Drosophila melanogaster: one gene and its partners. The protein of the gene in region 1 purifies or fractionates together with the protein of each later gene. This does not show direct contact. Each region holds a gene or a part of one and is shown on either strand. Other genes may lie near its edges. The genes, in order: hzg, babo, dah and Ras64B.

Region 1 (8,539 bases):
ACCCCCATCGTAGTTCAACGAACCCATATTAACCATGGAGATAAAATCTCCTTGTACAGAACTCGTTGACCTTTATCGATTCAAAAATGAAAAGCTAAAGGCATCATTTTCTAAAGTGTTTCTTCTGTTTCTGTGAGCAATAGTATGTATGTACATATATAGGAAATAGCAGCACACAAATCATTTGCACGCAGTCCGCTCATCTTGTGCCGTATATAATATTATTTTTCAATAATTAAGCATTGCATCTGCATCTGTTCACTGTCTGTTTCGTGTATTTTTGAGCCCATTATGTCGTAATTTAGATACACTTCTAGATAGAGGGAATATTGTTGCAAGACAACAAATAGCCAATTTAGCCAATTAAAGGGATTTTGAATGCACATTTTGAGACTAAATACCTTAAAAACAAAATCCAATAGCCTTTAATAGATTTTATTCATAAAATAGTATAAACAACGTTCGTTTAATGTTAAAATTGCGTCTTAATACTTAACCATTTTTGGGCTAGCGCATTAATTGTAAAAACCTCGAGTTCGTTTATACAATCAAATAACTAAATTTTCGTAATTTACCTTCACGTTTAGTTATTTTTGGATCTGCCTAATAATTGCATAATATAAAATGTTTATACATTTAAATTATAAATATTTCAGAGCGTACAACAAATGTTTATAGAATTTAACGTTACTAATTTCGGTGTACAGCAATAAATGAAATAATTTAAAAAAAATTCTATATATTAGAACAAGTGATATGTTTATGAAATAAAAATTATAAACATTTCAGCGTGCCGCAGTAAAATTTTCAGCATTCGGTCCGATCCAGTTTTCCCCATTTTCCGAAATTTGTTTATGCACGAGATCTTTGAACTCAATTCGCACTCTTTAATTTAACATTATTTGAGGCTATTTTTAGAGACCCCCCTCAATAAATGTGAAAAATAATAAATTTTTGAGAAAGGGCGTTAAATCGAAGAAAAGCGCACTGTCTGTGTGTGCACAAGCAATTTGCCTTCCAAGACCTTGAGAAAATTGAAAAATCACAGCAGTTCAGCTGAGGCGTCTAGAAATGAGATACTAGAGAGCATTTGCGTTTGCCCATAAAAACAATATAGATGTATTTATAAGCGAGGGGGAGTCCATGGGGCGGGAAGGCGCAGGGGGGGGTTTGGCGGTATGGCGAACACATACATATCTATATAAATATTTATACGCGGTGAGGCAAAGCAAAAAGCACTTAGGCGGCGGCACCCACTCTCAAATAAAAAAGAAAAACATATTTCAACTGTTGCTGTTCGCTTGCCGGTTTGCCCCTATTGCCGTGCTTTTCGCACGCACAGGCGCCCCACACACCCACTCGCTCTCTCACGAAAAACAGCTGAGATCAGAATAATAGTAGTGGGTTTTTTTGAAAAGCATAAAAAATACCCACTGTTGCTTCTATTTTATGATAATACACATACTTAGCTTACTCATAATGGACCTAACATAGAAATCAAACGCATACTAAAAAACGAAGCAAGCACATAACAATTCTAAACACAAACTTTGTGATAGCGAGTTGGAAATTATTAAATTTTTGTAAGTGTACTACAGTCTTGACCACAAGTGTGGTACATACAGTTACGGTGACGTTTTGCTCATTATCTCACGCTCTCTCATTTGGCCAAAGCTCAAACTAGTAGAAACCGCATAGATCCCTATTTGGAATGCAATGGGGGATAACTTGATTTCAAGATGTAGGCTCCCGAAGCGATTTTCAATATACATAAATATGTATTTATTACTGGTGACACATATAGATCGGCGCATCGATAAAGAAAGACATTCATATGCGGCAAACTGTGAGCACAGTCGATCAAAATCAAAATCAAATTCGAAATCAAAGTGAGCGAGCGACGTCGATTAGCACCTAACCGCAAATATTTTGTATATAATATACCAAATGTAGCCCGTACATGTGTGTGGACACATGTATAAAAGGTGCAGCGGCGACCGCAGATTAGATTAAATTAGTTATTACTTTACTTTAAAGCGTTCATCGCGTTTTTTTTTGCGCTCAGTCGGCCCCACCCTCCTATTTTTTTTTTATTTGTTCACTCTCTGCACAAATAAAAAAAATCTTAAGTCTTAGGTCAAGTACACTTTTTTTTATTGATGCTCGTATCATTTCGATATGGAAATGATAGCGAATGGCTAAGTTTGGTCACGTAAGTGGCACTTCTGACAACAAAAGTCGGGGTTTAATTAATACCACTGACCATTCGATTTTGTTCTTTTTGTTAGATATAAATACATATGTCTCGGATTGTATTTTAAATATAATGTGGTTAATCTTTACTTTTCTATCGCATTTTCTTCTTATGTACATAGTTAACCCGCTCTCTTTGGGCTCTCACCATTCATTTATTCATTCATTCATTACAACCATATCGCAACCTTTAAGCTACGCTTTTGTTGTTCGTCTGTTGCTTTGCTTGTTTGTTTGTTTGCATCACTGTAAAAAACAACACACACAACTAGTTTGATTGTGCTCTCCCTCTTGCTATCTCTCGTTTTATACCGGTTTTCCTGTATTTTTCTCAACTTTTTTTTACGTTTTTTACCTTGCTTTTTAGTGTGCAATTTAATTGGCAGTTTCTATTGTTGGACCCTCGAAAGTAAACATGCAAAGGCAGTTAGGCAGTTAAGCGAACGAAAAGAAAATAAGATGGGAGGAAAGTAAAGGCTTTCGTGTCGAAATTCCATGACGTCACATGTGCCGAAAGACGTCATCAATTGATTACAGGTGGGAGTGGGCCAGTGGGTGGCAATTGGGCGATGGGCGGTGGGTGGTGGCTGGCTGGTGGCAGAGTTGCAACTGCGTCGCAAAATAATTCAATAACCACAAAGCGAAGCCAGCAAGTGGTTAGATCATTCACAATGGCCAACGAACAAGAAAACACTGTGTGCTGAATAAAAAAGGGGCGAAACAAACACAACAGACAGGCACAACTGGCGTGAAAATAACACTATTATTAAGTATTGTTATTCATCGCAGTGAAAACCTGTGCAAGCCCATTTATTTAAATGTAAATGCATGACTGGGGACATTTTTGATTAATAAATTGATACCTTTGAATATTTAAAGGTAATTTTTGCTAGCATAGTACAGTTATCAAAGTCGAACAATCTATTAAGAAAACATAAGTCTGATTTTTACACAATAATGTGTCTATAAATTCAAACTCCTAGTCTACCTTGAAAGTAGAAAAAGTACAGACATTTAAAATGGAAATTAGATTCCCAATTAAAGAAAAGAAATTGCCATTTAATTGGTTTCAAATTACAGAAAGTACAGCAAACTGGTCACAGTCGTGCAAACAGATAATAGCTAACGTTAATTTAAATATTTAGCTTAGACAGAATTGAACAACTTTTTCCAGCTACAAGTTAATTGCATGTTGTTTGAATATATTTTTCGAATTAAAAGCACTTTTGTCTTTCATCAGTTTGTTTTTGGAGTGGTTCCTGTACAAATTAAAAAGGCCAATGCCATTTAACTTGCTGCTACTTTCGGAAAGTACGACATATGTACAACTAACTTATTCCCACAATTATATTGACCGCAATTGGGTGTGTTAGAAAGGTCAGCGGGGTGTTGGGCCCTCTTCTTTGGGAGGTTATGGTGGGTGGTGGTTGGTAAGTGGGGGAAACTTCTTGGCAGCGGACAAGTGTCCTTTCGTCTTTGTTGTGACGCCTTCGAGTGGCGATGAGTCATGAAGGGAGCTTTAAATATATGTATGTGTATGCGGACTGCGTTTTCAGCGATTTCCCCAGTTTGGCCCCCATTATTTGTTCTCACCTTTGTCATTGGGATAGCTGGGATAGACGTTCAGTTGCTCGTCGTCGCGGGAAACTTGCGTTATTATTGATGTTGCATCCATTTAAGCACTCGGTTTGTGGCTCCACTTCGCTTAACAGGTTGATAAATCGGATTCGGATTCAGATACTGATTCAGATCGGTTTCGTATAGGATAGCTGCAAAATGTTGCGCACACATGAGAGATAGAGATACATTGGATATGGCAATTATCGCGAGATGATTCCATGTTTTCTTCGTATATATGGTAAGTGTCGTGCAGTATATATGTCGTACATATATAATACATCTACCACGTATATATAGCTCACACACACACACATGCACCAATTGATAGCCTGCCCCAGACAGTGGAATTTTACAATTACGCTTTGGCCGTCCGTTCGCTTCGTTTTATTTCTCGATGCAAATGGGTTTCCCTTTGATATTCACCTCGCTATTTATCGCTCTCTCTTTCGCTCTGTTGCACTTTCGCCTCTCTGTTTTAGTAAATTTAAAACTTTTCAACGAATTTCAATAAAAAACACTTTCTTTCTTTCCTTCGCTCTTGTTTTTGGTTGCGCTCATTCTTTTACTTCTTTATCCGCGTCTGCTTTTCGCACACAGCTTCGCAGCGTTTTATTTATAAACGCCCACACAGACACAGCACTCACACACACTCTCGCACGCACACTAGCTCGGCCGCTGGTGTTTTCGTTATTTCGTCTCGTTATTTATTTATTTTTTTTATTTTTTGCCATTAATTAATCGCGCAAAATAACAAAACGCGTGTGTACGTCGAAAAAAAGTAACAGGAATAGCGCAAAAAACAAAACGTGTGATTAGTGTGACCGCGGTGGATGCGAGACTTATTACCAAGTGCAAAGAAAAAGTGGTAACATTTCGTGTTTACCTTAGAATCACAGGTTGAAGAAAGGCTTGATTATAAGTTAATTACTTACAAGGAGAATGTAGAATTCTATAAAAGGAGCTTGTTTTGAACTACATAATTATTTTCATAGATTTCCAAATTCGATAATCAAAGGTCATACTATCTGGTGCAATTTGGGCTGCCAACTGTGGTCAAGTTAATCTATAAAATTCTTGATTCAAAATGCAATTTTAAGAACATTTTATTTCAAATTATATCAAATCAGATAAAAAACAAATGTCCATGAAATGATTAGGTTAGTTAAGGATATTTTCAATCAAAACACTATAAGAAATAGGACAAGGGAAGCCAAACATAAAATAAAGCCAAATTTAACTATAAACTAGCTTAAACGGCAGTGCAAACAGTTCATCTGGTCTGGCAACTCTCCGCCGAATTGTTGTTACGCGAGCGATTTCTTTGGTCTTATTTCTAGTTAAAATTATCAAAGAAATATTATAAAATGTTGGCCGTACGAAGTTCCCAGAGATTGGGCCTACGGTAGGCCACCCGTCTAATTTGAAATAACCAAAAGAAATCCGTCACTCGACTATTTATTTTTCAGTTCCCTGCTACCGTCTGCCTTCAAAAACGTGGGATTGGTCAACTACTCCTCTTCGCAGTCCAAAAACGACGATGGATACTCCTCTTCGGACGACGAAAAGCCCACGAAGAAGAAGGAGGAACCTGTGGAAACGGCGGCCCAGCGGCTGAACCGCCTGTTGGGCACCATGCAGGCCACGGATCAGCTCTCGGCATCGGACTTTCCACGTCCTGGTGATGCCAACAGGAAGCGGAGGGAGGCCCAGAAACAGGAGGCAGCCGCCAAGAATGTTCTAACTGCGGCCAAGAACATTGCTAGCATGCTGGGCACCAGTGAGAGCGACAAGAAGCAGACAGAGTCTGAGCTATTGGCCAAACTCCTTGGCCATGGAAGCGAGTCCTCTTCAGCAGCGACCGGAGAAAATCAGACGGCGGATGTTTCGGGATCTCCTTCTGGTGATAAGGAACTCAATCTGAGGTGTGTAAAAATGATTTTCTCGCATTAATGGATAATCTAATAAAATTTATTTTCCTTACACAACAGTGATATTATCGTGGGCATGAAGATCGATCGTCGTCAGCAGCCGCAGCAGGTGGAGCAGACCCGCGGCGAGTACGTTCGCCGCTCGCTGGCTTCCAGATTCAAGCCACAGAATCGAGATGGGGCTTATCAGCGGTCACAGAGGCAAACCAAACGAGAGGCTGAATCCTTTACGGGCAGTGTCAATTTGTACGGCGGGGAACCGTTGGGTATCTTCAAGGATACCCAGCTGCCGATTTCCAACGACATCCTTTCAACCTGGTCACAGCTGAGTGAGCGGGAGCTTAGTTTACAAGCTTCCCATCCCCCGGCAAACTACTTCGAGCAAATGGTCCTGTGGACGGATCAAAAGAAGGTGTGGCGCTTTCCCATCAACAATGAGCAGGATTGGGAGGACGAGCATAACGTGGACTTCTCGGAACACATTTTTCTGGAACAACATCTCGAGGATTGGTGTCCTAGCAAGGGGCCTATTCGCCATTTCATGGAGCTCGTCTGCGTCGGCTTGTCCAAGAATCCCTACTTGACTGCCCAGGAGAAGAAGGATCACATTTTCTGGTTCCGTGACTATTTCCAGGCCAAGAAGGACATTCTGAGGGATCTGATTAGCAAGGAGCCAAGCAAAAGTATTTCTGCTTAATGTTTTTGTTTGAATATTTGTTAAAAATATATTTTTGCTTTATAAGACCAATCCGATATATAGTTATATATATGATATTGTGTGTGTATATATGTGTGTATAAGAATGTGAGTCCTTTAAATATCCTAATACTTCGAAGGCTGTGCAGACTGTGCGCGGAATGTGTGAACCGGGAACGGGCTTCAGAAGAGCAGGATGCGTTTTTCCACGGTCTTGCGGCAAATGGGACACCCCTCAATCTGGTCGCCACACATCTGGCACGTGCCGTGGCCACATAGGAAGACCATGTTCTTTATGCGGTCAAAGCAGACAGGACACATAGTCTATAAGATAAATTTGAGGATCAGTCACTGAACATATTTTCAATCTTATTTGAGCTCACCTGTTCCTTGATGTCCTGCAACTGCTGCTTCAACTTTTGGACATCATCCATCTGGAAGTTGTTGACATTGGAAGGAGCCACCATCGCGTTTCCAGCTGCTGACAGATTCGAGACATTCGAAGAGGCTGCTGCAGCGGCCAGGAGATTATTCTGGCTATTCAACTGATTGCTGCTGCCCGCCACTGGAGTAACCACGGTGTTGTTCATGGCCACGCTATGGCCGGAGGCATTGGCACAAGCTGCCGCTGCTGCAGCTTCCATGAAACGATCGTCGGGCAGTGGCAAGCCCACTGTTGCCATCGCTCCAGCTGCCACGGACACCTTCTCCGGTCGTCCACTACCTCCGCAGCAAAGGCTGAACGATAATATCTCATCGATTTGCGTGCGACACAGGACGCACTTTTTCATCAAAGCACTGCAGTGCTCACATGCGACCATATGGCCACAGGGGCGGAAGAAGACGGCTGCCCTGCGATCCGAGCACACCAGACACTCGTCGATCTTTTCGCGCGAGGAGACGGTCTCCCGACAGATGAGGCATTTCTTCACCCTCGGAGCGCAGGTCTCGCAGCAACTGACATGGCCACAGGGCTTAAAGACCGTATCCCGCTTGGCATCCGAGCAAACCAAACACTCATCAAGACTGGCTGACGATTTCGGAGGATCCTCGTGCAGGGACTGGCTCATTTCGTTGGCGATGCCGTTGAGGGCAAATATGGAAGATGATGAGGCAGCTGGGAAAGTGGATGAGGCAGCTAGGCTGGAAAGCGGCATATTGACTGAGGAGGACTGATTTAAGCTACCACTGGCTGCTCTTGCCCTGGCACTCGAACTCGTTCCAGCTACATTTCCGGGCAACTCAGAGTCGTCGGTCTTCCTTTCGTTGTAGCACTTGACCAGGGTCTTGCAGAGATTGGGATCTGGGCACAGGTCCAGTGGGGTCTGCTGCTTGCGATTCTTTAAGGTCAAATCAGCTCCATTGGCAGCCAAGAAGCATGCAATCGAAGCAGAGGCCTTCTTGTTATTAGCATTTCTCAGGCCCATCAAGAGCTTACCAAATCCTTCCACATCTTGCAGTTGCTTCAGCTGCGACAGAGTGTGATGTCGCAACGCTTCATGCAGCGGAGTATCCCCGTCTTTGTCGGGTATGTTAAGATCTGCCCCATCCTGCACCAGCAGCTTGACGATTTGCACATGCTGACGCTCCACCGCAAGATGCAAAGCCGTCTGGAGATTCACATTTTGCCTATCCATATTGGCCTTACCCATATGCACTAGTAGCTCAGCAATTTCAACGTGGTTGTTAAGTGCTGCCAAGTGCAGAGCTGTGTAGCCATCATCCTTCTTCTCTTCCACAATCCAAGGACGGTTCGTCTTGGTCAGCAGGATCTTCATGGCACTAGGATTACCCTTGAGAGCAGCATGATGCAATGCATTGAATCCATTATTGTTGTTTAGCGTGATGTCGGCCCCGAAGTCCAGCAACAGGGACAGCATCTCGTCGTGCTCCTTAGATATGGCATCGTGTAGGGGTGTATCGCCCTCGGAATCTTGCAAACTAGGATGGCAACCTAGCGTTAGAAGCGTCTTCACTACGTTCAAATGGCCCTTATTGACAGCAATGTGCAGAGACGTCTGCCTGCGCTTATTGCGCGCATT
Region 2 (8,389 bases), on another chromosome or scaffold:
GGCCTGTGTGGACAACGTCGGCGCCTGCGGGAGATAAGATAGGGAGACAAATTTAGTTTTTCGCTCGTTTTATATATATCAATCCAAACAAACAATAAACTTGGCCCACTGCCCGACGGCCCCCGCCCACACAGGCAACTACGCAGCAGAAACAATTTACGCCGGCAGTTGGCAACTAGGTTCAAGTGCCCCGGCCGTCCACACGAATGCGATTACCCCACATGGTCGCACGATTATTGAACTGATTGCAAAGGGTCGATGTAATGCCATATTATCGTGACTGACATCACTATCGCAATCACTGTCACAGCGCTTAGATGACGTTCAACTGCATTATCAGTCAGTCTCTGCAGCTCAACAGCTAATCGCGGCTTGAAACAGATCTCCGCGTGACGCAGTTGCCACGACCTCCTTTCCAAAGTTCACTTCCACTGATAGCACGCTCTCTTGTCGGCAGCGCTATCTCTCCTGTCCACTTGAACATGCTCTAGACGCGTGCCGCGAATTAGTAATCCACAATTTGAGTTGCCAAAAAAAAAAAAAAACATAGCGTAACGGACTTGTTTATAAATAAACGAACTTGAATTCTTATCCGGAGGTTTCATGCATTATTTCATATGCAAATTTATTTCAAATACTTGAGTAAGCTAAATGCCAGCCTATTACGTCCGTGGTGTCGTAAGTTTCGCTTCTGTGGTGGTTTCCAAATGCTCGATCAAGTGCATTACATCCTGTGTGCGAATGCCCCCCCTGCTGGTGGTTCCCTTGGCCAGTCGCTTAGGGCGTCTCCCTACGCCACGTAGCGCGGGTTTGGCTTCTGTGGAATGGCGTTTAATGGCGTCTAGAAACAAGCCGTTCATTCCCGTGTTTAACTCCGGAACACTGATAATAATATTGACGGCAGGCGGCGTTGACGGTGGTGACTGACCTTGCGGCTGGGTGGTTGCTTTCTTGGGCGGACTGCTGAAGGGAGACCCCTTAGATTTGATGCTAGGAGACATCCTCACACTTGCCTTCACACAAGCGGGTAGTAATGGTATTTCAGCTTTGCCTTGCCAGCTTTGGGACGTAGCTCCCTTCAGATGAGCCACATGTTCCTTGGCTTTGGTGTCCTCAGTTTGTACTGCTTTTGCCTTGGGCGGACTTATTAATCTGTCGGGTAAGACGACAGTTGAAGGTACTCCCAGCTCTGATTTCAATGCTTGTGGGGGTTCCTTGCATACGGTACTGTTCTCCTCCAGAAAGCTTAAGTCGGGAAGCTCCAGTTGTGGGCAGGGTTTTTCCTCTGAAGGCGAGTGCAGATTTGGCATGGAACTGGAACTCACATTTGTCTTAAGGGGGGTTTCTGTGGCAGAAGTCAATTGCTGCAGCAGTTCCAATATAAATTCGTCATCATTTGGAGGAGGTTTGGACGTTAAGGCCGCAGGGTGAGAAGGTAGCGTAGCAGCAGGAGATTCAAAAAGTTCAGATTGTGGAGCAGTGATGGGAAGTGCTGCCTCCGAGTTCAGATCTTCATCAGAGGAGACCTCATCGTTGTGTGGCCACAAACAGCTCCTGGACTCGCACTTCAGCAGCTGCTCCTCGAGATTAATGTAAAAGTAGCGCAGCTTGTGATTCCTGCCTTCACTCTGGCACTCCAGACACTCGTCTCCCGGCTGCAGTCGCTGCATTCTCAACGACGATTGTGGTGGTCCTTGGTTTGCCCGGCCGAAAAACTCAGAGGTTTCCCCCAGAATGCGCATGCTGTTTCTGCCGTTTGGCTGCCTGGTTTAATGTGCGTGTGCTCACCTGACCGAAGGTTAAACGGAAAGCGTACAGGCCGAGATTGCTTGTTTTCATGGTCCGTTCCAGTTCCAAATCGAGCAAATCGGGACCTGCAACAGTAGTAGACACGGTATCCGGTTATTCGAGCTTACATAACATCAATTGATTTTTCCCCGACTGCGTGCGCTTTGCTCTTGTTCGCTCATTGCTGGCGTTCTTTATCACTTACGTTTCGTTTGGCAATGGGAACTTTAGTGCTCGGCGCTCTCTGATTAACCGCGATTGCAGGTGCAGCCGATTAAACCAGCAACGTTGCTAAAATTTGGCGAGCAAATGAAAACCAAGAAAACTAAACGATCTAGAACTCATGTGAGTAGCGGGCAAGTGCGAAAGGGACTCGAGATTAGAGATGGGACTTCGAGTGGCTGCGATAGTATCGATCTACGGAGCACTTGCCTGCTGCGAGAGATAGCAGGGGTATTTTTTATTTTTATGCTTCATATTGTTAAGAAATCAACGAAAACTTTGAGCGTTAAAAAGAAGTTTCCTTACTTCAAATTCTTGTTGCATTTCCAACGCTTTCAGAATTTGAAACTTTGGAAATGTAACATCTTTAAAGTTGATGGGAGTACACATGCAAAAATATTGCGGGATCATTAAAAATACGAAAAGGTATTTTTCAGACCAAGCACACTTTTTTCTTTTCATGATATGTGTCCAATAGACAACTTGTCGGTGAAATGGTAGTTAAAAACCTTTATAGTGGAAAATATAAATTAAAGAATATCAGATTAAAACCCAAAGGGCAAAACGGTGTGACCGTTTTAGAAGCGAATTTAAATTTTGCGCTCAAATGTCAATGTTGCCACACCAACAGAAATCTGTATTCGAAATAATTTTACTGATTCTTTAAATTGGTAAATTATTTCAGGCCCAGCAACCTGCGACAAAGCCATCCCAAGAAAATATAAATTGAACGAGTAACCTAACAAAAAGTTTCTGTCAGCTGTTTTATATCGAAAAAAGTGCTGTTTTCCAACACTTCGTTTGCAGTCAGACAAGTTATCATTTCATAATTCGCAAAAGGAGCTAAATTCAATATCCGTACGAAATGAAGCTATCCGAGGGAGTTAAGGATCGTTTGGGATTTGTGGTTGGAGTCGTCCAGACTGGATTCCACTGGGGATTCGTGCCTCTTGTGCTGTATTTGGGTAAGTTGTGGTTCATGTTTTTTGTAATCTACACGCGGCTGGGAAGAAGAAGCAGCGGGGTAATATCAAATGGACCGACATTGATTTTGACCAATTCTCATTTTCGCAGGATTTATGAAGGGAGCTGAGCCTGGCATGCCGCCTCTGAACCTTTTCAGTCTGTTATGGCAGTAAAAATAGTGGACATGATCATTTTGCTGTCGTATGCCCCGCATTTTGGTTCTGGTTGGGTTTCTGGGAACGGGTGCAGTACCTGCAGCTATTGCAAATAAATATCTGTTACAAAACAAATCGAAATTTTTTTATGTATCCTGGAAACAACCAATATTTTAACAAAAATCATTGTCCATAAAAACATAACCGATTGGGCATTTTTACGCACTTCTCTAGCGGGTGGGTGTTTTTCATGGGCAGTCCAGCCTGGGCACACTACTGCAGGTGCGGTCACACTGTTTGCAAATCCACACACACCAGCGCGGTTTTTCGCTGCACAAAATTGTACATTTAAGAAAAAATAGCAGCAATTAATATAAACAAACGGTTGCCCCAGACACCCGAAAGTGCCGGCTGTCCCGCGGAATATGAAATAGTGCCACTTCCCCCGCGCCACTGCCCCAATCACGTGATGAAAATCCGCCTGAAAAGTCGCCCTCGTCCGTGAAATGTAAAGCAGAGCAGAGCAGTTTTTCCAACCAACTTGTGCGGAGTGTGGAGTTCGAGTTTCGCATTGCGGGCCCCCATCGAGATTCGCTAATTGTGAGAATCGCCAGTCTATATTCCCGGCCATGCCCCCGCCAAATGTGGGAATTCGCGGGCGCCTGTCCTACGCGATAAATGCGCAGTTCGGGGCCAATTAGTGGCTGTCTGAGGTGTCCTCCTGCCGCTCCTCCTGCTCCTGCGGCCCCGCCTCGTCCTGCCGCGAAACAACAATCTCATTTGCAGGCCACAGACTTTGAACTTGCGACGCGCGTGTGCGTGCGTGCGATCGTGGAAAACAAAAGAAAAGCTCTCGGGCTGCACAAACAATAACAATAGCTCGGGTCGGGTCGCACACACTATCGTCGGTGCGAATAGCCAACATGTTATCTGCGCTCCGGCTAATCTTCCTGGGCGCTCTGCTCGGCGCCTCTGTTTGCGGTGAGTGTACCCCCCAGCGGTTCCATTAATCTGGATCAGGTGCGAAACTAACCTAAAATCTCCCCCGGTGCAGCCTCCCCCATTGAGTTCGTAATGGACACCAGCCTAAATGGCTCTCGATCTGATCCTGCGACTGCAACCCACCCTGGCAAATGGCCACCGACGACCAAAGCGCCGGCGCTCAGGGCTCCAGCTGGAACAGCTGGACATGCTTATCAGTCGCCATCGTCGTCGCTGGCCGCTGATAACAGAAGCCACGACAACAACAACGCTAGCGCCGTGTCCATGCTGCTGCCGCAAGACGGCGACGCATCTGGAGCTGTGGCCCCTGCTGTTACTCCCCAGCTGCCCATCTACATTGCTCAGCCTAGCGCGAAAAAGCCAGAAAGTAAGTTCCGATTGCCTAACGAGAGTGTAGAGCACACTGCGGACAATGCACCCCGAATTATCTAAACAACAAGAATGTGATAGATTTACAGACTTGTTCCGGTATTGCCTTGCAAACATTTTACTTGACTTCAGTTAACCAGGAAAGTCAGCACAGAGTAAAGGTCATTTTACTTCCCTTTTTTAAGGTGAAATCCATTATTGGGAGAAGATAGAAACCGCTTAGTGGTTATACCTTACTTGTCCGATATATTGACATTTTTGTTGTTGTTGTTTAATAATTAAAATATCTTACCAAGGGTTACTTAATACTTGGCGATCTTTTCGATGCCATAGGGATCTTTTCTCCGTGTGTATATCGCGTGACTGTAACACCTCAAAGACTCTGAACGCTTCTAAAAGGCCGTCTTCGTCTGCGCCTGAGGCTCCGATTCCGTTCCCATATAGTGACGTCACCTCTCCGTGGTGTCAATGAGCTGAGCCAGACAGCTCTCATGGCCCACTCCAACGCTGCCTGGCTGCAGACACCCCCACGTCTGGATGCATTTGCTTGCTGCACTTGGGCACTTGCAACTGCAGTCGGTGCAAAAAAAAGCAGGCCTAAGCACTGGCACTGGCTTCTCGCTGTCCGGGGGAAGGGGAAACTGGTCGCATTGTCTGGCCCTCCACTTTGCACTTGTCTTCTCCGCGTCTGCTTTGTTAATGCTAAATGGTTTTGTTTTTGTTTCATCACGCTCTCGGCGGTGTCGGTGGCGGTAGATGTGGATATGGTAGTGGCTATGGATGTCTATGTGACTGTCTGGGCGAGCGTGTGCCCGGCCAGGTGCCCCGGGGGCATGGTTATGGCAAATCCCAATTTGTGGTCAGGAGATGCCAATCAGCGAGTGGTTGATTTATGGGTCTCTTATTTCTCTAATTAGTTAATTTCTGCCAGCGCCTAATTGATTGATTTGCTTCAATCGGAGTCGGGGCATTTTCTTAATTCGAGAAGTTTGCTACTGCTAACCTATGCTTTTGCGTTTTATTTGTTTAAATAATAAGAAAATCATTAACCGTGGCAAATGAGGCGCGGACCTCTTCCTTTGCTTACCTTTCCACAAGTAATTAATATTCATTAAATATTACAAGAAACACGTGCTTGGTTAGGATCACCTACAAATAGTGAAGATATATCGTTAAGCGAAGAATAAGTTTTTGTTGGTGAGTCGGTTTAAAGTTAACAAATTTTTGGTAGGAATGTATGGATTTGATAGTACTCTAAAGTTTGGTTTTTTGCAAATAGATCTTTATATTAATTTTACCTTTTATGTTCTGCAGACAAGATAAAATGCCACTGTGACACGTGCAAGGAATCGAACAATATATGTGAAACGGACGGCTTTTGTTTCACGTCCGTGGAGAAGAACTCTGATGGGAGCATCATCTTCAGCTACAGGTGAGTGCCGAGAGCCTGAGGAGCAGGCCTTTGATTAGGTTAGCACTTGCCCCTCAGAGCAGCCAGTGTGAATATGTCTGATACGATCGATCTATCGAGCGATGCAGATGTCTGCACAAGTCTCAAATCTTTCCGCCGGGCCGCTCCATCTGGTGTAACGACGGGCTGCACGGCGGACCAACCGCCCGCCCAGTGGGTCGCAATGGCGCCCACGCCTGCTGCAAGGACAGGGACTTCTGCAACCGATTTCTGTGGCCAAAGACGAAGGACCAGAGGAGTGATCGTGTCGAAGAAGGGCGGCAAATCTCCGTCCAAGGTGCGTGCGCTTATGCACGTGTTTCGCTCCCAAAAACCCCTCCTCTCTGACTGCTCCCATTTCTCTGTTCACTCGCACGCCGTTCAACAACCAGTTGCCCAGTTTTGATCGTTCTTTGGACTGTTTCCCCCACTTATGCTCGTTGAGTTGAAGTTTTGAAATGATCATAACCCCAAATGCAGAGCACTACTAATGATGACCTGCTGAAAACCAGAGCGGCGTTACACACACTGTAATCAATATAATTATAATACTCTTCTTGCTACTAACCAGACTGCCACTTCAATTAGCAACAAGCCGAAGGCGGCAACAACTACAGCTGAATCAGAATCAAAATCAGAATCAGATGCAGCAGTAGCAGCATCAGCAGCAACCAACAACCAATGCCAAGCAATACTAATTTCGTATAATTGTTATTTTATTTTCTCTATCTCCCGATATTTCCTTCGCTCCCTTCGGCTCCTCCACTCGAATGAATATATCGAACTTATCGCATTATCCCCGCTCGTTCACATATTTGTGGACTGTGCTGTACGGTGACCCAGTTGCATGGTTGTCAAGTACAATATGCAACGGAGTAAGCCCTTCGAATGCCTCACCAGTAACGAAAGGTTCGATACGTATAGGATTGATTGCTGTAAGAGTGATTTCTGCAATAAGAATGAGATTATGAAGAGGATATTTGAAACAGGTACAGCCGCATTCAAGTAACAAAAACCACACAACCAACAACAATACAATTTCTATCTTTAGTTTGCACTCCTTCTCTAATTCACTGCGCCTAATTAGCACTGCATCAATATGATTAATAGATTAATTATAACAATTCAATAATCTGTAACAATAATTTTTGGTTTAGTTCAGTCTGTTTCCCCTCAGGTGTGCACACCGCCTCAGTTTTCCCCTTAGCTTATTACATATTTACTTTGACTACTTGCACTTTTTCGCTTCTCGGACTCCCACCTCTTCTTTTCTTTTTATTTTTCTTTTTCTTTACCTTTCACTTTTTTCTATTCTCCCTGCTTTTCCGCGTGGCACAAATACACACCATAAATCTTATACGGAATCCAGCCTACAACACCTTATCCTAGTAAATTACACGTATCCTTATGCATGCCAAAGTATCTTTGTAGTTTGTAGAGATCAGAGCTTCCACTCAAGGGGTGAATTCGATTCGTCCTGGAAGCACTCCCACTCGCCTTTCGCTCGCGATGAGGTTTCTTGCCCTCCTTCGCGGGATGTATGTGGTTTTCCTTGGATTTATTGTTTTTAAAATCCCAATTTTCGAGGTTCCACGAATGTTTTCAGCTTACGAAAATCTTTAAAAAAGTTTATGATGTACCTACGCTGTTTTTCCTGGTTTATTGTCTAGCAATGTATGGTTGGGTTCCGATTTTCACTTGGATTTTCTCCTGCTGGAAGAATAATAACAAAATTGTGTGGGAAAGTGAAAAACGGAACTGTTCTGATAAATTGGTGTAAGAGTAAACCCGAACTCTCCCACATTTGGCAGTGGCTCCCTTCCATATTCCCTGGTATTTTTTGATGACCGCGACCGACTCCGCTTACTGCCTTTGCACCCAAAACACAATTGTATCCACCTGCTGCAGCTGACAAACCCACCCCAACCCTTTCCTGGCTGAGCAACCACCAACAAATAAATAAATAAAGGGCTGCTGCTAAAATTTAGCTCGTAAGTGGTAACCAAAGCTGCTTCGCAACTGCACACTGCAACAACTACAACTGCAACAAGAACAAGAAGAACAAGTGCTAATCTCCTACGTAATTTAGTAATGTAGTACTAAAAAGCTAAAGCAAACTAGTAGATAAAACAAACCCCAACTAAATATTATGTATGTAGATGCATAACAGACCAGTTGCCACCTGAAGATCCTACCTCGTGCAAGTTAAATTCGGAAGCGGGCTCTTCTCAGTGCTGCGCCGAAGATTTTTGCAATACGCGTGAGAATTACAGTGGTGTCCTACCAGGTGAGACCAGCAATGCACCGCCAACACCGCCCAACAATTCAACAATTCAACCACCACCAGCCATCGAAGCAGCCACGCCCATGCCATTGCACCACCTCATTTGCGTAGTTTTTTTTGGTATACTCAAATTTGTAACACATTGATTTCACA
Region 3 (8,709 bases), on another chromosome or scaffold:
GATTCTGCATGATTGATGGGCACAAGGAGAAGATCGGTAACTTCCGCCTGGAGCCGCCAGGCCTGTTCCGCGGTCGTGGCGAGCATCCCAAAATGGGCATGATCAAGCGGCGCATCCAAGCCAGCGATGTGTCCATTAACTGTGGCAAAGATTCAAAGGTGCCTTCACCGCCGCCCGGATCTCGCTGGAAGGAGGTGCGCCACGACAACACGGTCACCTGGCTGGCCTCCTGGATCGAGAATGTGCAGGGACAGGTCAAGTACATCATGTTGAATCCCTCCTCGAAACTCAAGGGCGAGAAGGATCACATTAAGTACGAGACGGCGCGACGCCTGGACAAGGTAATCGATAAGATACGTGCCACCTATCGCGACGAGTGGAAGTCCAAGGAGATGAGGGTTCGCCAGCGAGCGGTGGCCCTTTACTTCATCGACAAACTGGCGCTGAGAGCAGGCAACGAAAAGGACGAGGATCAGGCCGATACCGTGGGCTGTTGCTCGCTACGCGTGGAGCATGTCCAGCTCCACAAGGAACTGAACGGAAAGGAGAACGTGGTGGTCTTTGATTTCCCCGGTAAGGACTCCATTCGGTATTACAACGAGGTTGAGGTGGAGAAGCGCGTCTTTAAGAACCTCGAACTGTTCATGGAGCACAAGAAGGAGGGCGACGACCTCTTCGATCGTCTCAACACGCAGGTGCTTAATGAGCATCTCAAGGAGCTGATGGAAGGTGCGTATTTACAAATTATCTATAATTATTTTTCAACATACTTACTCGTCGCTTTTTATTGGCCAACGCAATAGGTCTCACGGCCAAGGTATTCCGTACGTACAACGCATCGAAAACACTGCAAAGTCAGCTGGATCTGTTGACCGATCCGAGCGCCACGGTACCGGAAAAGCTGTTGGCCTACAATCGCGCCAACCGTGCCGTGGCCATCCTCTGTAACCATCAGCGTTCCGTGCCCAAGAGCCACGAGAAGTCAATGGAGAATCTGAAGGAGAAGATCAAGGCCAAGCGGGAAGCCATCGAAAAATGCGAGTCCGAGTATCATGTAAGTATATTCGAGAGGTTCTTCCGCTAGCAGTATGTTTAATTGTTATAAACCAATGCAGTCGAGAGACGAGAAGAAGGGCAAACAGCTGGAGCGCCTAAGGGATCAGCTGAAGAAACTAGAACTACAAGAGACTGATAGAGACGAGAATAAGACCATTGCCCTGGGCACATCTAAGCTAAACTATCTTGATCCACGCATATCGGTGGCTTGGTGAGTGGTCTCTCCCTTCAAGCAGCACATTCCACTCAACGAGAACTAATATATATATATATATCATCCATTTGCAGGTGTAAAAAGCATGACGTGCCGATTGAGAAGATATTCAACAAAACGCAAAGAACCAAATTTCTGTGGGCCGTTCATATGGCCGATGAGAATTATCGTTTCTAAATGGGTTCTCCTCACAGCCACGCCTAGACACAAACACACAAGTACGCCGACCCTTCCTCCACCCACCACCACCCCTTCAGACACACACACAAACACACACTCGCACCCGATCGAAGAAGATGTAACAACAAACCACACCCACCACAAGGCCGGTTTATAAATAGATTCCATGCCAATCCCGCCATTGTTTGGTCCACAGTTTATGCAATTGATAGTGCATATGTCCAGCTTTCGGCCAACGCAATGGGGGATTGTTAGCCAAAATGAGCGGGACGGAATGCTGCACTACATCGTAGTCGTGGAACCGCTTGTACGCGTCCGTTTTGTCTGCTTTGAATGGGATTAATGGGATCAAGTGCATACTACGCCGAAGTCTAACTTGCGAAATGTGCACACCCAAACACAAGCTAATCCAATATATGTCAGTTTTATTCATTAAAGGCAAGAGGAGATGTGAAACCTGGGCAAGACGTCGCCGCCACCTAAAAACAAATCAGGAGCATAATTTTCTATGTCTCTACAAAAGAACTTTTTTGTCAAGATACCCTTATACTTCATAATTTTACATATAAAACATATATACATATATATATTTATATTTATGTATATAATAATATTTGTGTATATATTTTTATTTTTAATATAATACATACATTTACATAAATATATATATATAGATATATATATATATATAAAAATATAGATGTATATATATATCTATATATATATATATATATTTAATAGCAAAAGCAAACGAAAATTATACAATTTAAAACGCAATTTTTTTTATGTTTACCTATAGTTGATTTTGTTTAGCGAAAACAAAAAACAAAAACAAAAACAGGCATTTGTACATAACAAGCCAGCAATTAGTTACCAAATTAGATATTAACTAAATTAAGATATAATAACATTGTAAATAAATATAGCTGTAAGCCCCGTAGCTAATGCTATACTATCTAAGTTAGTCTAGTTTTGTAAACTATTCTATCTATCATAATAATAATAATAATTTGTATAAGTGCAAACTGAACAGAGAAACCTTGTAGCCCAACTTTTAGCATAGCATAATTTATTCAATTCAACTCTGAAGCAGCGCTATTTGTCGACCGACCGCCCCCGAAAATGAAGAACAAAGCCACATTGGATGGATCTCGATGTGGTTTCGCTTTGATTTCGTACCTTATGATCATTTTAGTTAACATTTCGAAATATACAAATGCTAAATTGATTTGCAGACAGACCCTTAACTTTCTATACTCTAAGCAGACAGGTTTCAAGTTCTCAACCGCAAACCAAGCCGCCATCACACTGAAAACCAATTGCAGATACAAATCAAACGAGCAATTCAAATAACTCGATGAACCAAAACAGAAACACAGCCAGCAAACCAGTCGCAGCGAAAGAAAGAACTTTAATCTGAAAGAAAGGAACTTTATACATATAGAATCTATAGAAGTATGTGCAATTAAGTGAGCTAAAACTATACCTTAAACCTTGTAAAAATCGAGCCTTCACTTGAATCCTTCAGTCGACGAGAGCAGTGGATTCAGGTGGAGTTAGGAACATCCCCAACATCCATGTGCCCCAATCCCATCAGCTACGATTATGGCCGTACTTTTAACTAAGCAAATCGATGGAAATTTATATCTCGCCTCACGCCCCCCCTAGCATAAATGGCAAACGCGCATTGCAAATGAAGAGCGAACGATCTTTATATACATACATATAAACACACACACACACACGCCCAAACACATATTATAATTAGTGATTGATATAATGTGAACGCAAACATCTGTGTGCGTTTGTCGTGGATTCGCATACGGAAGCGGGAGAATGCTTTTAAAAGGCAAAAAAAAAAGTTAAATAAACTAATTACGAACCCTTCTTCGAACGCCCAGCCCCGCCCCGCCCCGCCACAACACTCACATATAAACTTGGCATATTATAATATTGATATAAGCAAACAAAAAACAACAAGCGAAATGATAAGAAACCCACTATTTTAAATCGAAAGCAAAGTAAATGAAAAACAAAATAGCATAAGTGAATGTAATTGCAATGGAATGATGCAAATATACATAAAATATATATTTAATTTTAAAATCTATGTGACACTCTTTCCATTTCCTCGTTTTGGGTAATTATTCGCATTCAAAAGAAGGGTTTTTAAATAACTTTGTTTTGTTTTTGAAATTGGGAAAATACTATGGTGAACCCAAGTTGTTCAGTTTACATTTCCCGTTGCTCAAACTTATTTACCAATTATTATATCATGGTCAAATATTCTTAGAACGAACGGATGACTTAATTAATGATAATAATAATTTTGAATCAAATTTAAAGCGCTAACGGTTCGGCGAAGTGATATCGATAACACGCGCGGCGTTGCCACCTCACGCCACACAATTTGACTTTTGCGCTAACGGAAGAGGAAGAGATCGCGAGAAACGACGCGTTTAAAAGAGACTGAAATTAATTCGAGAATCAAGGGAAATATATAACAATAAACGCCTGACAAAATGCTGAGATCGTCGGTGCCCGTGCAGCTGACAAAACTGCGAAATAGCGCCGAGGCCGTGGCGTCCATTGCCCGCGAAAAGGGATCCCAAGGTGGCCAAGGACAAAAGCAACAGGTGGACAAAGAGCTATCCACCATCATGGATGACTTGCAGCGGGATTACGGGAATTACAAGTACACGGTATACCGGTGCGCCAGTAAATTTGTGGCGCTGCAAAAGATATTTCACAGTGAGTCAGTCGCGTAGGTGGTCCATTCGAAGGAGTCCCCAAGGATTAACCTTCAAATTGCAGCTGGAAAAATCCCCTACAAGCTGGTTTTGGCCATTTTGGATCGCCATAACTTGAGTGGTGGCCTGGAACTGATGGTTCCTCCATTCCAGTTGACCTCCCTGCTGCACGATGTATACTTTGCCTGCGAGAAACTAGGCCATTTCAACCAGGATGCGAACTATAAACTGGACAGGGCAACCGGGCTGTTGGCCAACTTCTTCTGGAATGTCTACGATCCGTGGGTTGAGTTTCTGGCATCTTAAGAATATGTCTGATATTTGATTGGTTTCGCTAGGCAACGCAGACACTCCATATCCCTGTTAGAGATCAGGATCACCTTCATACTGCTGTGCAAGCTATATAGCAGCGATCACCTGGTGGGCGACATCTTTGGCCTGCTGGCCGATCCCAAGTCGCAGATCATCTCCAGATATGCATTCGAACAGCTCCTAGCCACGCTGAGCAAGTTACTCAGCTATTTGGGCGAGGCCAAGGCCTATGGCGTCCACAATCTTCCGTTGGCTATGGAGCAGTGCTTTGCCCGCTGTCCGCATGGCGTTGGTGGACTGACCGAGCCGCAGTTCCACAAACTCTGGACGGGAGCGGGTGTCCAGACGAGATTCCTGATCTATGGCAATCTGCTGGCACTGGTGAAACGCATCGAGGACACCGAGCATTTGATTCACAGTAATTCTTGTGCCGGCTGCCGCAAGGAGCACATTGTGGGCATACGTTTCCGGTGTCAGGTGTGTAGGGATATATCGTTGTGCCTGCCCTGCTTTGCAGTGGGCTTCGCTGGTGGTCGCCACGAGCCGGGTCATCGGATGTGCGAGGTCTTCGTGGAGGATCAGCCGCCATTGCGTTGGACCCGCCACCTGGCCAGGCTGTGCGGCTGGCTGGTGATGCCGCGCAAAACACAGGAGGAGGAGCGTCGCGGCTTCTGTAATGCGCAGGAGAGTGGGCCCGCCTTGGGTCAATCCGCTGCCACGCCCATTCCCGCAGAGACGCGCAGTGTGCGCAGTCAGTGCCAGGAGAAGGACCGCACAGTTGTCCTGCAGCAACAGCAGCAGGAGCTCTGCTCCCTGACGGGTCTAGCCAGCGAGGCGTCCAGCAGGCTGCAGTCCATCATCGATCGATTGCTTTTGCAAAATGCGTGGGTGTTTTCCCTTCTTTCGCCACACTTGTTAGCCAAGCCTTAAGGTTCTCTTGCATTTCAGGAAGCTGGAAACCCAGCTGCAAACAGTGGCCACCGCATCTAGTTCGGAAATATCGCAGTTTCTGAGCGCCCATCAGTGCTTTCTGCTGCAGATTATCGAGGATATGCGACAGCTATCAGTGAGTTTTCCAAACATTCGGCCCATTTAAGCTGAGCTAACTCCATTTATATACACTTGCAGCATGCCTCAGCGGTAACTTCGCCGCCACCTGCGCCAGCTGCCCAAGTGGCGCCTTCAGCTGCGCCCCTAGTCAGCTCCACGTTCCTTAGCTCCAGCACGCCTCAGCGACAGATGCTATTCGACATGTATGCGCCCGTGGGTGCCAATCTCACGCACTCCAGTAAGAAGAGAACCTTCAACAGAGCCATGAGACAGCTCCACTAAGTTAATCGTTTCTTGTAGTAAATGGCGCCGACTTGAATCGCAGCTATCTGGAGGCAAACAAATCGGATTACTCGCTCAACGACATAAGCTTGTGGTTCGACCAGCGTCGCTCGAGTGTCCAGCCAGGACAAGGACCTGGTTCCCTGCCGGCTCCTCTGCCGCTGCCCATGCCGCTGGGTGCTCTACTGGAACAGCAGCCGGCAAACGGCGGAGATGGCCGCGACACCGAGATGGTGAACTTTAAGCTGCTGCTGCACAAGGTCAAGGAGATCGTCGAGGACTCGTACAGCGATAATGCCGAACTGTCGGCGGCCACGCAAAATCTGGAGAACGTTCTCGATAGCATCATCAAGAGCGAGGAGCAGCAGCGGCGCATCAGCACGTGAGGATCCGGATCGGATACCAACTCCCATCGATTCCAGCCAGACCAAGTCCACTTAGCTTTAAGTTGTAAAGTTGTTCTAAAGTAATCGTGACAAAATGACACAACCGAGTCATGCATTTATTATATCCTTCTTCCTTTTCCCATGTGCTTTAACATTCGCGTAAATGCTTTAATTTGTAAACTTACAACTCTGACAAGAATGCAATACAACAAAATGTTTTTATAAAAATATACAATGCAAAAAACACATTGTTAACAAAGCATTTACATACAAAATATCAACTTTGTAGATTTTCCAATGCAAAGAGAAGAAAAAAAAAACGCATTTACGCCCCATTGTCATCATCATCATCGGTGAATAGCATAGAAGCCAACACATCGCTGGCCATTTGTGCCTTGTGGAGCTGCGTCAGCTGCTCCCGGCGCTGCTCCACACTGGCTGCCGGCTCACTCAAAACCTTCCAGGCGTCCATCTCCTCGAACAGACTGTTTAGCAACTCCATCTCCATGTCGGCAGGCGACATGTTGTGCTCAGCGACCTCTAGCACATTGAGGTTGCAGTGCAGCTGGAGGAGATCGCGCGTCAGGCGATGCAGTAGCAGACGCAATCGATCGTCCGTTCTGGCGTACACATGCCAATGCTTTCCGGGATCGTCGCGAAGCAGCAAGGTGTCACACCACTGTGACTGCGGCTGGCGATTGTAGAAAATACGCTGGACAGGATCGGCGGCGATGTTGGAAGACTGAAAGTGAGACCCAGGCTCACTGTCGTCCAGCAAGTCGGAAGCTGTAAGGGATTATGAGTTAAAAGGGACAACAAGTGGTCTTGACAAAGCTACTCACTCGGCTCCTTGTTTGCTTCCTGGGCTTGGATCAACTGAAACTGCAGCGTGGAGACGAGTAGCTGCTCGAATGTCGTGCAATCCTGGGCCGACTGGAACTCCAATTTCAGGGAGCAACGTGCCGTGTGCGTCATAATAACGGCCAAAAAGTCTTGGTGCAGCGTGGCGGGCGAAAATGTGGGTGCCAACGATTCTGTTTTATCGAGCAGTTTCTTCACATCGAAGGTAATGAGATGGATTTGCCTAGGGGATGCATCCTCGCCCATCTCGTACGTTGCCATCAATATGAGTTTCTCTGCCTCAAGAAGATCGACCAGACGCAGGCTCACTACCATCGCGGCAGATCGTTCCGGCGGTAGTATTCTTTCCTTCTCCACCGGTCGCCATTTGAGACGCCTGCTATGCTGATCCTGGCAGGCCCAAAACTGCGCCAGCTGGTCGTAGTCCTCGGGTGGTTGGCCATCCGCCTGCAGAGGCAGCTCGTACAGGCGGTGCTCCACGCTAAAGTCGGTGTGTGGTTCGATTACAACAATCGGATACAACTCCTTGACTATGGTGAGGCGATTGGTGCCAGTTATGTTGACTAGCAGAGTGCCACAAACAAAATAATCGCCGCAGATCCGAGTCCATACATCGCCGAGTCGTCGGAGCGGCTGCTTCTCCTCAAGGAGCAGCGAACGCTGGCCCGGCGTGCCGAAGTATAGAAGGTCTTGGACGTGGGCTAATTCCTTCTGGTTTTGCATTCGCTGGCTGTCGAGCTCGGCTTGGGCGCGGTGCACCTCCTGCAGCAGGTTCTCGAAATCCTTCGCGGGCAAGCCCGCATTTTTGGACGTGCTGGGCTCCTCATTTAAGAAATCCTCCTGGAAATCACAACGCTGACGCTTGCCATTGCCGAACTCCAGTTCCACAACGGCCTGGAAGGAAATGGGACCTTCGACCATCTGGTAGTCCACCACATCCTTGTGATCCGCCACCAGTTCGAAGTTGGCCCCGTGATCCTTGGGCCTCTTTAGGACGACGAGATGCTTCCAGCACTGAATTAACAGGTAGATGCCCTCCCGTTGCCACACAAACTTTCCAAATTTGAGGGGCAAATCCTCCGGCGGATCCAGCATGCTCCAGTCCACCTTTTCGTCAGTGGGTTCCTGCTTGGACAGAAAGGGACAAACCGGTCCGTCGTAGGCCTCCAGTTGGGTGGCTATTTGCTTTAGTTTCGTGACCTTCAAATCGATGTAGTGCACCAGATCCTTGCGCCGGAATTCGTAGAACTTTAGGTTTCTCGCTAAAACCAATGTAGTGGGGTCATCCCGCGGTCGGCCCACGTGAAGATTGGCGCAGAAGGCCAACCGGGCCGGCTGGAGCAGCATCTCCGGCACATTCTCCTGGACAAACGGCAGCATGGATGCGGAAGCCACAAGATGGATGTGGCGCCCTTGACTCGAAAGCCCTTCGAATCGATAGCTATTGAATTCAAGTAGTAGTTATCGATGCGGTGAACGATATTAGGCTATTTTGAAATGGAAAAACCAATATTAATCGAGTTTCGAATGCTCCTTTTAGCGAGAGGTAAGTCTTTAACACCGCATAAACACAATCAGTGTTGCCTAACCAATCTGTGCCCTCCACTTTCTCTCATAA
Region 4 (4,420 bases), about 12 Mb from region 1:
GATCCTTCGGCGACAGCTGGGCATGCGTAAACAGCTTGGTCAGGTTCTCCTCGGAAATTCCGTTCTTGATCATGACGTACAGGGCAATGATGCGAACCTTGTCGTAGTTCGAGACATTGGCGTCCAGCAAGATGGGCACAATGTTGCGCATATGATCCTTGATCTTTTCGCCCTCGGCGTCCGTGCCCATGGCCAGATCCTGTTCCACGCGGCACAGCTTGTCCACGTAGTTCTGGTACGACTTCATGCAGTCCTCGGCCAAATGCAAGTGGGTGGAGTACTTGGACAGCTCCTTCTGGTACTGCGGCATCTTCTTGATCATCTGCGAGAGATCGCGCATCGACGACTTGTCAGCCGAGCCCATGCGCTTAGAGTCGGTGAATTTCTTAAGGTTCTGAGTCACCTGGGTGGAGACCACAGCGATATGCTCGTGACGCAGCTCCACCCACAAGTCGTCGTTCTCGTCGAGCAGCACCTCCTTATCCGGCTGGTTGGGGCCGGGCGTGTAGCGATACACGTCATTGACGATGGGTAGCAAATCGTAGGCCATGGCCTGCAGGGTGAGCTCGTGCAGCAGCGGCGACACGCAGTCGAAGCCGCGATCCAGGATCAGCAGCTGGGATCGTGCCTTCTCGGGGCCCTCGCCCATGGTGGCATCGTCGGCCTTGTAGGCGTCCAGCTTCTGCTGCACCGACGCGGCCAAATCGATGTTCCTGTCCCAGTCGCTGCGGTAGCGCACATTTGGGTACTCCCCAAGGGTAGCGCACAGTGTGGCTATTTGCTCGGCAATTCGCTCGATGTGCTTGCTCCGAATGGAGGCAAAGGCCGGCGAGTAGAGGCATTGGAATGTGTCCGGCGAGTCCAGCGAGAACACCTGGCATTCGTATGGCAAAAATGCAATGTTGATCTCCTTCAGCGTCTTGATCTTTCCGGCCGCGCACGACTTGCACAGATCGTTGAATAGCTCCTCGGGACAAACTTCGGTGAAGAAGACATGGGCATAGCGATACATGGGCCGCGCTGGGTTCTCGAAGTCTCGTATCAGACCGCGCACTGACTCATCCGACGGCGTAATCAGATAGATCGCGTCCATCGTGGGCAGCGGCTCGCGCTTCTTGTTGATGTCCTCAACCAGGGTGATGCCCTCGGCGCTGATTTCGTGCATCTTGGTGCAGGCGGACACCATGCGCATACCCAGCTTGTCCACCACCAGCACCCGCCATTCCATGCCGCCCGCCCCCGCAGCGGACGTAACGCCCTGCTTTTTGGGTGGTGGAGGCTTGTACTTCACCACCTCGTTCATCAGCTTTTGGCCCACCAGCACTTTCAAGGCCATTTTCACTGCGTTTTATTGGTCACGGGCGCAAAGGCAACTCGATTATGAACACACTGCGTGTAAATATGTCTTTTTAGCTTATTCCGTTCGCTTTTTCGCGTGGGCTAACTTGACTTAAAGAATTTTATCTATTCCTTGGCCAATTTTTCTGTATTTTTTTCGTTTGATGACTTAGCCTTAGTGATGGGCGAAAGTCGATTGCTGGCTAGCGATAGTTGATATCGATATTACTGTCTAGCAGAGACGCGCACCCGTCTCAGTGCGAGTGTGGATTTCTCAGTTAACCGAGAACGGTCACGCTGCTGCTGTCGAGGAAGGAAAATAAAATAATTTTGCTGGCCAACTGGTCGATTTAAACGGGGAAATGCAGATGCAAACGTACAAACTGGTGGTCGTCGGCGGCGGCGGCGTGGGCAAGTCAGCGATAACGATACAGTTCATCCAGGTAAGCCGCCCAGCATCGGCCCAATCCCTGGTGACGTCGCTTTCCACAGGGGCGTTTGAATGTGGGAGTGGGGGGCGATGGCGCACAGGGGCGGTGGCAGGGGGACGGCCCTTGTTTTGGCCAGAGCAACAAACAAGCAACAAGCGACTGTGATGTGCGTCTGTGTTTGGACATGCGTGTGCATAGTTTCGGGCCGAGATCATCACCAACACAATCATCATCATCATCATCATTGGCAGCATCATCATCGCGGTGGCCACACCCCCGTGTGTATCTCCAATTGGGGATCAAGTGGTCAGAGCCCAGAACCAGGGAGTTGCGTTAGACGCAGCCCCCAGTTTTCTGGGTGTGCCGATCGATTCCCCGAGAGTTTGTGCCATGGTCACGACCACAATGACCGCCCGCTTCCATTTATTTTTAGTCATTTGCGTCATCTGCACATCTTTCGTGTATATGCTGTAGCTTTTCCCCAAGATATATAGAGCATAGTGGATAGTGAATGATAAAAGTGACGTGTGTAAACAAATCAAAGGCGGAATGATAAACGCACCCCGCCCACATAAAAAACCCAGTCTTATAATGTTTATATATGTAGTTTTGTGGCCTCGGCAGCTGGCGGTACAATAATTTTAATCCTAATCTTGCAGAGCTACTTCGTCACGGACTACGATCCCACCATTGAAGACTCGTACACGAAGCAGTGCAACATCGACGATGTGCCAGCCAAATTGGACAGTAAGCTTCCTTTCTTTACCCTTACCAGATTCATAATAACCTGATATTTTACCTAGTTTTGGACACGGCTGGCCAGGAGGAGTTCAGTGCCATGCGGGAGCAGTACATGCGCTCCGGCGAGGGATTCCTGCTCGTCTTCGCGCTCAACGATCATTCCAGCTTCGATGAGATCCCCAAGTTCCAGCGCCAGATACTGCGCGTCAAGGATCGCGACGAGTTCCCCATGCTGATGGTGGGTAACAAGTGCGACCTGAAGCACCAGCAGCAGGTGTCCCTGGAGGAGGCGCAGAACACCAGCCGCAACCTGATGATCCCCTACATCGAGTGCAGTGCCAAACTGAGGGTCAACGTCGATCAGGCCTTCCACGAGCTCGTGAGGATCGTGCGCAAGTTCCAGATCGCCGAGCGTCCCTTCATCGAGCAGGATTACAAGAAGAAGGGCAAGAGGAAGTGCTGCCTGATGTAGAAGGAACTAAATGGAAGAGAATCTCCTGAATGCCGCAGCGGAAGCAGGAGCCAACATATAATGATTATAACACCAAATTTTTTGAAAAACACGCGTCGACTGAGCTTTGAATTCCGTTGAGAAGACGATAAACCAGTAACCCGAAACCAGTAACCGCACAAAACGTGTCAACGAGCCCAAACGAAGTGCATTTCTTACCTGCCCAGGTGCATGGCGCATTCAACGAACGAATCGAATAAACTTCGCCACTCTCAAATAGCTACGAAGAATCTTACAACTGACAACTAACAATGCAAAATGCAAACAGAAACACGAAACATAGGTAGATATATACAACAGATTCACACGAATAACTTATATATACATATATATTTCTACATATATTTTTGTAATATTATTTTGTTGATCAACGACAACAATTAAGGACGAATGTTTTCATGATTATTACCAATCGTGGCTCGCAGGCCATTTGTTTTTATAATGCAATAACTAAGCCCAGAACGTTTGTTTCGATTAAGCCAAAACGTAATAATGTGTTATTGTAATTTGTATTGTTATTTACTACTAATATATACGTATACATATATTAACTGCTTACAAACCGATTTTGTTGTAACAAATTGAGTGCCTCGTTCTCGCGCGTAGAAATCTAAAACATCAAACTCTGTATTACACCCACGGCATTTTTGTACTATACCCGCAGCTGCCAGGCGCGCACAACTCACTTAACGATACTTTTGTACATGTCCCCAGTCGGATCCGGATCCTATGGTTTATTGTTCGCCAAATGTATTGCAACAGTTGCTTTAGCCGCAATCTTGTTTTAACTCTTATACACTGCTTAATTTAACGAACTTATTTAATGGTATATAAATAAATATATAATTAAATTTAAAATTAAACATATGCGCAATTCTAATAAACACATGGAGAATCACAAACGCTTCCACATAGAAGATTGTTTCAATGACGCTCTCGACTGGAATTGAAAATTCCGACCCAATCCAAGCAATTATAGAAAGAATCCTTGCTAGTGCTGTGTTAATTACTTACCAGCTGTCTTCCCTTCGAGCTCAATGGGTATAAAAGCGGGCTGAATCGAAGTGGACCAGCATAGAACTCAGAATGAATCCCAAGAGCGAAGTCCTCATTGCAGCCGTGCTCTTCATGCTGCTGGCCTGCGTCCAGTGTCAAGTGAGTGAATTCATATCCCGCTGCAGGATATCCCTTTCTGATGTCTCATTTTATTTTCCTCTATATAGTTGACCTTCTCGCCGGATTGGGGCAAGCGTTCGGTGGGCGGAGCTGGTCCTGGAACCTTTTTCGAGACACAGCAGGGCAACTGCAAGACCTCCAACGAAATGCTGCTCGAGATCTTCCGCTTCGTGCAATCTCAGGCACAGCTCTTTCTGGACTGCAAGCACCGCGAGTAGATAGC

The links.
Region 2: the proteins of hzg (region 1) and babo purify together in Drosophila melanogaster (affinity purification with western blotting; one study listed by BioGRID). This does not show direct contact.
Region 3: the proteins of hzg (region 1) and dah purify together in Drosophila melanogaster (affinity purification with western blotting; one study listed by BioGRID). This does not show direct contact.
Region 4: the proteins of hzg (region 1) and Ras64B purify together in Drosophila melanogaster (affinity purification with western blotting; one study listed by BioGRID). This does not show direct contact.

What each region holds. Positions count from the first base shown.
Region 1 is NT_037436.4:16,000,053-16,008,591, forward strand, and holds the start of hzg (herzog), read right to left. Parts: upstream 4,685-8,539; 5' UTR 4,297-4,684; intron 4,023-4,296; 5' UTR 3,929-4,022; coding exon 3,847-3,928; intron 1-3,846. Other genes in the region: mRpS31 (mitochondrial ribosomal protein S31), read left to right, coding at 5,238-5,275, 5,340-5,795, 5,862-6,498; mib1 (mind bomb 1), read right to left, coding at 6,681-6,821, 6,881-8,539.
Region 2 is NT_033778.4:8,948,918-8,957,306, forward strand, and holds the start of babo (baboon), read left to right. Parts: upstream 1-3,421; 5' UTR 3,422-4,054; coding exon 4,055-4,112; intron 4,113-4,185; coding exon 4,186-4,500; intron 4,501-5,816; coding exon 5,817-5,934; intron 5,935-6,041; coding exon 6,042-6,250; intron 6,251-6,795; coding exon of another isoform or gene 6,796-6,941; intron 6,942-8,111; coding exon of another isoform or gene 8,112-8,239; intron 8,240-8,389. Other genes in the region: CG33199 (uncharacterized protein), read right to left, coding at 1-24, 1,789-1,839; CG8229 (uncharacterized protein), read right to left, coding at 663-1,670; Tom7 (translocase of outer membrane 7), read left to right, coding at 2,876-2,975, 3,085-3,149.
Region 3 is NC_004354.4:15,324,472-15,333,180, forward strand, and holds dah (discontinuous actin hexagon), read left to right. Parts: upstream 1-3,870; 5' UTR 3,871-3,972; coding exon 3,973-4,201; intron 4,202-4,264; coding exon 4,265-4,481; intron 4,482-4,538; coding exon 4,539-5,396; intron 5,397-5,460; coding exon 5,461-5,578; intron 5,579-5,640; coding exon 5,641-5,800; intron 5,801-5,862; coding exon 5,863-6,230; 3' UTR 6,231-6,531; downstream 6,532-8,709. Other genes in the region: Top1 (topoisomerase 1), read left to right, coding at 1-729, 804-1,054, 1,116-1,267, 1,345-1,447; CG9114 (uncharacterized protein), read right to left, coding at 6,556-7,016, 7,073-8,471.
Region 4 is NT_037436.4:4,137,479-4,141,898, forward strand, and holds Ras64B (Ras oncogene at 64B), read left to right. Parts: upstream 1-1,597; 5' UTR 1,598-1,700; coding exon 1,701-1,781; intron 1,782-2,428; coding exon 2,429-2,516; intron 2,517-2,572; coding exon 2,573-2,982; 3' UTR 2,983-3,920; downstream 3,921-4,420. Other genes in the region: Rop (Ras opposite), read right to left, coding at 1-1,336; Akh (adipokinetic hormone), read left to right, coding at 4,108-4,176, 4,245-4,415. UniProt on the Drosophila melanogaster protein: May be involved in endocytic processes and/or other transport pathways mediated by vesicle trafficking. May interact functionally with ROP protein. Ras proteins bind GDP/GTP and possess intrinsic GTPase activity.